Linked DNA regions of Mus musculus: all the other regions are reported to be linked to region 2. Evidence: microRNA targets listed by miRTarBase, many of them from high-throughput screens and not tested one by one. Region 2 holds a microRNA gene; each other region holds the end of a gene's coding sequence.

The links. The annotated mature microRNA mmu-miR-376b-3p reads AUCAUAGAGGAACAUCCACUU and lies in region 2 at 2,102-2,122, opposite strand. An mRNA with a match to its seed (bases 2 to 7 or 8) in the 3' UTR can be bound and repressed. Matches are read on the target gene's strand: a 7mer-m8 pairs with bases 2 to 8, a 7mer-A1 pairs with bases 2 to 7 and ends in A, and an 8mer does both.
Region 1: miRTarBase lists Nfkbiz as a target of mmu-miR-376b-3p. Seed matches in the 3' UTR shown: 8mer at 2,784-2,791.
Region 3: miRTarBase lists Hoxd10 as a target of mmu-miR-376b-3p. The part of its 3' UTR that is shown has no 7-base or 8-base seed match.

What each region holds. Positions count from the first base shown.
Region 1 is chr16:55,809,834-55,813,087 of GRCm38, forward strand. It overlaps Nfkbiz (nuclear factor of kappa light polypeptide gene enhancer in B cells inhibitor, zeta), which reads right to left. Exons shown (of 12, transcript NM_001159394.1): 12 at 1,544-2,950. The coding sequence ends at 2,897. Among named protein-coding and RNA genes, the nearest start is that of Nfkbiz, 11 kb to the right of the region's middle.
Region 2 is chr12:109,722,376-109,725,629 of GRCm38, reverse strand. Mir376b (microRNA 376b) reads right to left here and starts at 2,172; the gene lies at 2,091-2,172. It overlaps Mir376c (microRNA 376c), which reads right to left and starts at 2,912; the gene lies at 2,827-2,912. It overlaps Mir654 (microRNA 654), which reads right to left and starts at 2,412; the gene lies at 2,329-2,412. It overlaps Mir376a (microRNA 376a), which reads right to left and starts at 1,849; the gene lies at 1,782-1,849. It also overlaps Mir300.
Region 3 is chr2:74,693,700-74,696,953 of GRCm38, forward strand. Hoxd10 (homeobox D10) reads left to right here. Exons shown (of 2, transcript NM_013554.5): 2 at 392-1,407. The coding sequence ends at 669. Among named protein-coding and RNA genes, the nearest start is that of Hoxd9, 2.4 kb to the right of the region's middle.

The DNA of each region.
Region 1 (3,254 bases), not on the chromosome of region 2:
AATCCTCCCAGATGTACAGTCCTTTTCGGAATCTCTCACAACGGCACTTCAACCAGTCTACCCAATAAAGTACATGGCATGCCTCTCTTCTGATCGGTTGGCTGTGTCTTTTCAAGACAGGGTCGACCAGGCTGGCCTCAAACACAGAGACCCAACTACCTTTGCTTCCTGGGTGCTGAGATTAAAGATGTGCACTATCACGCCCAGCTGCATACCACACCTCTTACATCTTTGCCTTATATTATCCCCTATGCATGTGCAACACACACTTTGTTAAACACTAGATTGTGAAAGAACCGATTGCTGGGAACACTAATTAAGGGACACTCATAAGCTCATTAAAGAGAACCCAGTGTGTAGGCATGTTCAGTAGTGTGTTCTGTTCCTACTCTGATGGCTATCTAAGCAGGTACATTTACAATCTATGCGCAAGACATTATCTAAAAGAAAAACTGTGAAACAGAGCCTTGGCCTATGAGCCTTGTTCTTCTAGGGCTGCTAAGCCTGATACTGTATGCATCATTGCACATATGCTGACTAAAAACTTTCACTCTGGGAAGGGACAACCACCATATAAGTTCCCCTGGAGAGCCAACAAGTATACCAATCAGGTTTATATAGACCGAGTAGGGGGTTACCGAAAGGAGCATTGATGAACCCAAATTAGTTACACCAAAAAAAATGTATGCCCAGTATGGATTGTCCATGTCTCACAGGTAGAACCCTCTTCCCCAGAGTCTTCCGCAGCCTAATAGACTAGCCCCTTCCTAAGACCTTGAAATTAGAGCAGAAATACAACTAATTAGGAGGAATGGTTGGATATTCAGGTGAGAGTCCATTGACATTCCTGCTGCCTCCTTCTGAGGGAAGGTTAATAGTCAATAGCTCAGCTGTGACAATCTTTTAGCACAATTGTCCATAGCTGAACTCAAGAAGATGGTGGCAATGTGGATCGTCATTCCTGTACATACAGCACACACTCAGGCACACTTTCCAAGAATTCATGGCTGTCGTCGGGTACTCTCAAGAACCAGGATGCGGGTGCAGCAATTATAATAATGGGAAAAGGGAAAAACACTACTTGGCACTGTTCAGAGACTGGCATCCCTCCCTCTCAGGATGACTCGGATAATGTCTACACTGTTTGCTGTGTCCACTGACCTGTCCGTCTTTTTTATTATATAAACTTCTGAGTTTAACAGCATCTACTACTAAACTTTGTGTTTTCGGAACGTAAACTTCTCATGAATATAGCAAGCCATTTTTGGATGTTAAAAAGGGCATATAATTTCAGGAAATGTTCTCAAAAACAAACACACACACACACACACACAAAAGCCAAAAGTAAGTAACTTAAAGGTTTTGTTTGTTAAGACTCTGAGTTTGTTGTTAATACCTTTTCTAGGCTAGAAAGGACTAGAGCACAGCAGCTAAAGAGTTTGCCTGGCACACACAAGGCCCCTAGAGTCCATTTTTAGTAATGGAAAAAAAAATAGTATTCTTCAAACTACACACAAATAAGGCACTAGAAAAGAAAAACACATAAGACAACATGAGTTTATTAATGTTCATTTAAAACTATGCATGAATTTTATCAGTGTGTGGAGTGGGCTCATTCCACCTTAGAGATGCCAAATATCTGTATTTAGCTTTCATCCATAAAATACGCTGAGTTAAACATGATCAATCCAATCCAATCCAAAGGGCATCTTTTAAAAAAGAACATGAGTACCTAGCTACAAAAGGTAAGTTAGTCTATTAAAAGGCATTTTTAATGGGTCATATTTGTCACAAAGAATCAGTGTATAAATCAAAGCAAAATATATTCTTGTCGGGCATTATCAAATTTAAGCAAAATAATGTTAAAAGAACTAACATTACACTAAAAAGTAAAACATCTTTATGAATAAGCATAAACATCACAGCACATTATTACTATTTGACAACAGAAAACAAGAAACTATGCTTCAATGTTGAATTTTTGTAATTTCTCTTAAGGAGAAACAGAAACTTCAACAACTTAGGTAAATTACATAAATCTAAGAGGTGATTCATAAAACAGTCTCTTCAAGAATACGCAAATGCCTACAAACGTGTCTGTTTCCAATGCAAGAGAAACCCGCCTGCTACCACAGCAACGTTGGGACCCACTTCCCCATTTGCTTTATCTGTAAAAACTCTAGCTGGACGATTACACAGTACAAGTTGCTTTGTGGGTGCACAACCTTGAAAGTGGTGAACAATTCACTAGCTCTTTTCTACTTGATTGACTTACACATTTCAAATGTCCGTGGTTCAAATCAAATATGTACAACATTTTAAAAGGTAAAAATGAGAATTATATACAGCTTCAAAGATCACATCCTATCAAGAGGCCTCCCTCACCTAGAGAGAGAGCATTATTAAACACCAGGTCCTGCATCTGACCAAAGAAGCATCGATGACAGCAAAGTGCACATCAACCTCACATCCAAATTTCTGTCCCCTTTCAAATGCTTTCATTTTTCACCTCATGTTTCAAGCCCACCTAATCTGGACCTGGCAATCTCTACATGAGCAAGGCTTTATGCCACAGATCAAGTCTTTTCCCATGAGTCTTTTTTTTTTTCCCTACCTGAAAGCTACTGGTTATCGAAGGTAATTTTACCATTCAAGATCAAATTCAGATATATAGATCCCAGATACCTGGGTATGAAATACGCAAATCTGCCAAGAAAATTAGATATCTGTCTTCTTTTCTTTTAATATAATCCACTATATAATAGTGAACTAAATGGGTTTGTTTCATAGAAACAACTTACATTTGCCAATACAGGGCAAATGGTCTATGTACAGATACATCAGGACTGCCTAACTGACAGTGAGTGTCGCTGAACCAGGCTCCACGCCAGTGGACCTAGTATGGTGGTGCTCGCTGCTGAATGGACTTCCCCTTCAGGATACGTCGGATCTGGAAGAGAAAGGAATCGTGGAACTTACTTCCAATGCTCCAAGCGGTATATGTCTCCCAGATTTTCACTCCTCTCATTAACCCTCTACAGTGCACCCCTAACTTAGGAGCACAGCCAAGTCAAACTCGTGGTAGAGCAGCGGCCAGGATATCCAAATGTCCAAGCAACTGTGTGTAGCTCTCCGGGTCTCAGGAAAGCCCCCACAGTCATCTAGAGCCACTGACTTTTTGTATCCCAATCAGACAAATTGTGTATCTGCCTTTCAGCCCACGAGAGATTAGAAGCAATTAGAGGAAGAGATTT
Region 2 (3,254 bases):
GACCTGACCCAAAGATGGAACAGGGCTGGAGTAGTTCCCAGATAGAGTTAGATGTGAGGACAAGTGCCTCTTGCAGTCTATTACCATCAATAAAGAGAACATACCGGAGGCTATCCTCTTTACATGAACCAAGAGTTGGGCCAGGGAACAGTGAAGCACCTGTGAGCCTGGGCTGAGCACAGGGGCTGGTGAAGCAAGCCTCAGCTGGCTGGCTCTGGAATTGGCTGCATACTCTGCACACTGGTACCCAGCCCTAAAGTTAGTTTACTTCTCAGTATCACTCCAAAACAGGGTGATCTTCCAAAAGACTAGGGTGGGGCATGGGAGGATGGGCATGGGGTGGGGTGGGGGTGGGGATTCTGTGTAACTTAACAAAAAAGTGACAGAGAATGATTGGCATTCCAGAGCCTGCAAAGCCACCCTGGCAAGAAAGCCTCCACCTGTGCCCACAGCTGCAGCCTCCAGGAAGTCCTCCAGATGGTCATCGAAAGAGCAGGATTAGTACGCACAGCAACATGCATCATTCAAGAAAGAAGAAAAACCGGAAAACTAGCTCTCTGAAAGCCCCCACCCTCTTCCCCAAACTGGAGCAGTATGGAGACCTCTGGACCTTCCTTCTGCCCTTCTTGGGGAGTTCAGAGGACTATGGGAGACTTATCACTATAAACATCAGACCCATGCAAGGCTCACCGGAGGGAGGTGAGATGCCCCACCTCCACCCGACCCCCAGAACCAAGGTTCTTTAGACAACCTTAACATAAATTCATGCTGTGACACACAAGGTGAAGAGGACACCTGGAGAAGGAGGCTTAATGGTCTTGGTAGCCTCTGGGAGCATCTTTACTTTGGATATCCACCAACCCCCTTTCCCTTAAGTGGATGGGAAGCCTTAAAGGTGATTGTAAGGACAGGTTGGCAATGGTGGGCAGAAAACCCACATCTAAATGGGCACTGGCTTGCTGCTGACACTCTTTTGGCCTTAGAAGACGACCTGGCATGCACACCACACTGCGAAGGGCTGTCAGAAGGGGAGGCACAGTTTCCTAGGCTCTACCAAGAACAGCCCTTAGGATCAGCATTTTTTTCTAGAAAGTTCTCAGAAGCATGTGTGAGATCTGTAGGGTCAGACGAAGAAGGAGCTCAAGCTCGGTGGCCCACCATGCATTTACTTACCCTGGAGAGACCACACCCTTCTGCTAGGCCCAGGCCGCCGCCAGCCATGCTTCCAGGCAGCATTTGCTCCTCGAAGAGAGCTTGCCCTTGCATATTCATTTCGCGTAAAGCAAACACACAAAGGATAACCTCTCTTCAAGTAGCAAACGATAAGGAGCGCTGGGGAGAGCTGGTCCGGTGCGATGACAGATGCGATGACGGTCCGGATGTGAGCCTGAGGGGGCACATTTGGAGGTTACACTTCCAGATGATTCACATGCCCCCCCTTCTCCGCACACCCCCCAAAGGGTTACCCAAGGCGCCCTTACCCAAAATGATGGCCCACCCAGGAGCTCTCCAAGACATATCGCTACAGAAAAAAGAAGCCGACTCCAGAAAACATACACATGGTGAGCACACAGAGAAACAACTTCATTTGAGGTCAGAGAAGGGATATAAAGAACACAGTGGTCTCAGAACACATCACTGGGAGAGGCTGGCATATAGGCACACATCACACAAGTCACAAATCTATCTATCCCCGCCAAGCCCAGGAAGACGACGGATAGCACGCTTTCTTCGGTGAAGATGTCATGTCCTCGGTGGTTTCCCAAGCAGCATTTGATACTGAAAACGTGGATTTTCCTCTACGATTAGTCATTAATATTGTACTCATAGAAGGAGAATCTACCTTTTAAATATCAAAGAACAACTCGATCCAGGATGCTGTGAGCTTGTGCTTGTGTCGACAGAAATGGAAGTCCACTGGGCAGAGTGAGCAGGCTGCCCAAAGAGGCGGTATATCAGACCCAGATCAGACTAACACTCAGTTGGCTTCTTAAGGCCATTTCTGGCCACGCCCCACTCATTATTACATGATCTTCCCCCCCAGCCCCAGACCCTACAGAATCTTCCAGAAATAGTTCCAGAGCGACATTTGATACTGAAAAAGTGGATGTTCCTCTATGATTATCCAGGAAGCACGTAACCATAGAAGGAATATCCACCTTTTAAATACCAAAGAAGGACTGAGTTCCGGGAAGGACCAGGCTTGCTGCTTGGCTCATCTGAAACAGATTACAAGACAAAAAAAAAAAAAAAAATCCCCGCTTCTCAGGCAGAGGAAACAGAATGTTGAAAGGCGCCTCGGCCTCTGTGCCAAGCTGGCTCCACAGGCAGAGACCCAAAGGTGATGGTCAGCAGACATATGACATGAGAAACACACATGTTCTGCAGCTTACCATCTTCCCACTTACCGAGGAGGGCACTGCGCCCAGCCTCATCTCCCTGGTGGATCATGTCACCCAGGAAGCACATGAGACTCAAAACTCAGGCAAACCCATCAGATTGACCAGCAAACATAAAACCACAGAAGGGAAATCTACCTTTTAGATATCAGACTTAAACTCTTGGGACATCCAATAGGACAGTCCTATCTGCGACAGAAGGGACACAATGGGAAAGACTTGTTAGCTGTGGGGGATTCCAGAACGAGACCCCTGACCTCTGGCTGAGTTGGCAGCCCATGAGGGAAGCTCTCAAGATTGCTCATTGGCCCTTGGGCACCTGAGGACATGCTCTGTGGACCACTGACCCCCCACTTACCCAAGAGGGTGCACCTGTCCTGTCACTGCCCTGGTGGTGGCTTCAGCTCAGGCCCATTACCCAGCAGCATTTGACACTGAAAACGTGAAATTTCCTCTATGTTTAATCACAAAAAGCATAAACATAGAAGGAATATCCACCTTTTAAATACCAAAAGATTTAGTCCTGAAGAGAAAGAGCCGAGGCCTAATCCGTCAGAAATGAAGAAGGCAGCAGACAGGCGCCCTCGGCACAGCCCCCAGAGGACACAGATTCCAGGAACAACCTGGCTGTGGAAAGCACAGGCTGTGGAACCCATCTCTCCCTTTGTTCTCTGGGTGGGGGAAGACTGGAATAACCTGCTTTGTCCTAGGGGGCACTTTGTATTCAGAAACATCCCAGAACCACTTGAGATACTGAAAATGTGGGTGTTACCTCTATGATTAACCAGAGGCATAGAGGAGCACTCACCTTTTGAATATCAGAAAGTGAGCGACAGAAGTGTATCTAGAGCCCAC
Region 3 (3,254 bases), not on the chromosome of region 2:
GGTGGCCTGACGGCTTAGAATGTTTTTGGGGGGACGGAGGAATCCTGTAAAGTTTGCTATTATAGTCACATTTTGTGCAAGCCAGAAAAGTTGTGTAGGAGAGAGAGAGAGAGAGAGAGAGAGAGAGAGAGAGAGAGAGAGAGAGAGAGAGAGAATATGAGGAGGCAGCCTCTGGCACAGAATATCCTTTCATTCATCGTGTTAAGTATTTAGTTCTAAATTGGTACCAATTTACAATCCCCTTCATGCCCACCTTCGTAAGTGATGTTTAATACCAGCATTGTCCAAAGCAGCCCATCTGGCAGCAGGGTCATGGCCAAGGGTATATTTGAATGGACTGAGAGAAAAAAAAATTCTTGATTTTTTTTTCTTCTCCCTTTAATTTTGTTAGAGGAAATCAAGTCTGATACTCCAACCAGCAATTGGCTCACTGCAAAGAGTGGCAGAAAGAAGAGGTGCCCTTACACCAAGCACCAAACGCTGGAATTGGAAAAAGAGTTCTTGTTCAATATGTACCTCACCCGCGAGCGCCGCCTAGAGATCAGTAAGAGCGTTAACCTCACCGACAGGCAGGTCAAGATTTGGTTTCAAAACCGCCGAATGAAACTCAAGAAGATGAGCCGAGAGAATCGAATCCGAGAACTGACCGCCAACCTCACCTTTTCTTAGGTCTGAGGCCCATGTGAGGCCAGGATCCGAGAGGGGGCACCGAGTTCCAGGCCTGAGTGCTGGAGGACTGGCAAGGCGGAAACAAACCCTTCATTGCTCTTTGGTTTTTTTGTTTTGTTTTGTTCTGTTCTGTTCTGTTTTCCTGCTAGAATGTGACTTTGGGGTCATTCTGTTCGTGCTGCAAGTGATCTGTAATCCCTATGAGTATACATATATATATATATTAAAAAAACTTAGCACGTGTAATTTATTTTTTTTCATCGTAATGCAGGGTAACTATTACTGCGCATTTTCATTTGGGTCTTAACTTATTGGAACTGTAGAACATCCATCTAAACGTATCCATCGCATCCCACCCATCTATCCCGCCAGCAATGTGACTTTTCCATGTTTTTCCTAACATAAAAGTTCTCTGTGTGTGGTTAGCCCATGAACTCATGGCATTTTGAAAACATCCAGTATTTAAAAAAACAAACAACCTATATCTATATATATTTCAAAAGATTAAGAAAACCCACAAGCTTTGGGGGGAGGGGGACTTTAAAAAGCACATTACAATGTATCTTTTCACAAATGAACTTAGCAATTGTCCTTGGTGAAATGGAATATTGATGACTTATGCCTTGTAGCCTTTCCTTGTGGTGCATCTGTGGTTTGGTAGAAGTACAAGCGCAACCTGTGCTTTTCTGTGCATGTTCTGGTCGCATGTGTAATGCAATAAACTCTGGAAATGGGTTTGTTCCTTCTGCTTTCTGAAATGGAAATATACGTTTTGGTGGAGAGGAAAGCCTTTGGGGAGGGTTTCTTCTGACCAAACTGCTCTTCAGGGGGCAGTGGACTAGGGGACTGGGAGGGGCAGGAGAAAGGAGATGGGAGGAGAAAAACTGGAGAAGACCTAGGCTGTTAGAATATGGCAATGATGGGTTTGAGAAGGGTTCGTGATTCAGCCTGAGAGCTCAGTCTTCATAACTGGGAAGACCGTTCTCGCCTCTCCCACCCCCTAATCTTATTAATATAATTGTATTCTCAATGGGATGAGCTTCCCTCTACCCCTGAGCCTGGTAAGTAAGAACCCACTGCAGGCTTTTGCCTCCAGTCCCCCATTTGTGTGTTTTCTTCTCTTTGGTTTTGGTTATGTTATTTTTAATGCTTTCAGTGAGCTCTTGGTGACTTCTGGCTGGGGAAGCCATCTTCAGGGGCTAGGTTGAAACTAGTAATGCCCACCTGGAACCTGGCTGGCCTCCATTGCAGGAACAAGCAACAGCTTAGCAGGGCACTGGATCCAATTGTGCCCCCCCAAGTCCCTTTCTCTTTCCCACCCGCCCCAAGCTCAAGACAACCAGACCCAGTGAAGCCAAGGTTGGGTGAGTTTTCTCATTTTATTCTACCTTGGTTCCTTTCTGAAAAGGATTAATATTCTGCCATTGCCTTTGAGTGGCCCACAGTAACTATTTAAAGGAAAAAAATGAAACTATTCCCCCAGTCAAATCTCTCACTATTTAATTACAAAATGTTCATTTGCAGCCACTGTGTCTGAGCTGTCAGGTGACTGAAAGCAGTTGCAAGTGACCATGACTGCTCAACAAGTCTGTCCAATGGGCCTTTTACATACATGGGTTGGAAAATTCAAACCAACGTCTGTAGAATCCCTGTCATTGAGCCCACATTCATCTTGTGCTACCAGGAAAAAGGGAAGAGGTGACTGAACTCGTTGCCCCAAGTCTGGCCTGTGGTTTTTAACCCATCTTCAAAGAATTTCACAAAACAGGATCCCCCCCCCCCCAACACAGGCCCTTTTCCTCCCAAAGAACGGTGCATTCAGCGTCTCTGAGCTGCCTCGCCCCATCCAGACAGTCTTTGGGATGCTCGGTACTGATTTTTTTAAACCTCCTCTCCCAGACCCCAAATCCTCTCAAATTCCAAGACAGATCCCTTTAGGGACGTATTTTTCTGAGGCTAGCAGAGAGAGAGAGAGAGAGAGAGAGAGAGAGAGAGAGAGAGAGAGAAGTGTCTGATTCCATTCTAGCTTGAGAGGACTGGAATAAATTTGCCCCTGACTTACCTTGGATGGGCAAAAGAAGTAGAGTGATTTTAACCTCTGCGTTTCTCCCAGCGATGTGGGGAGCGCCATTAGTTGCTGATGGGGGGAAACCTGTGCTACAGGAAAGGGCAGGCCCCCTGAAACAAAATCAGAAAGCCATTCGCCAAGGCAATCAATCAGGTCCTAAGTAGCCATTTACCCCCTTTCTTGGCGGGGCTAGAGGTGGGTTGGGAGCCCTCCAAGGGTGCTCTGGGCAACTTGTAGAGCGAGGAATATGTCCTCTCAGCCGCCGCTGGCGTGCGGCTTTTGTCTCGGCTCCCAGGCAGGCTTTGTACCATGGATTTGGGAGTGACAATGGGCATTTCTCTCAGATTCAAGGCTGCCCGGCCTTACCTCTCAAGGGGAAAACTGGAAAGGGGGTGGATCAAGGACCTGTTCTTTCGTCTGGATTTTGAAGACATCTTCAGAATCCGTTTGCAGGCACGTGTGAAAGGCACGCAGCGAACCTACCCTCGGAGATGCGGTTCCTGCAGGCCTCTCTGAG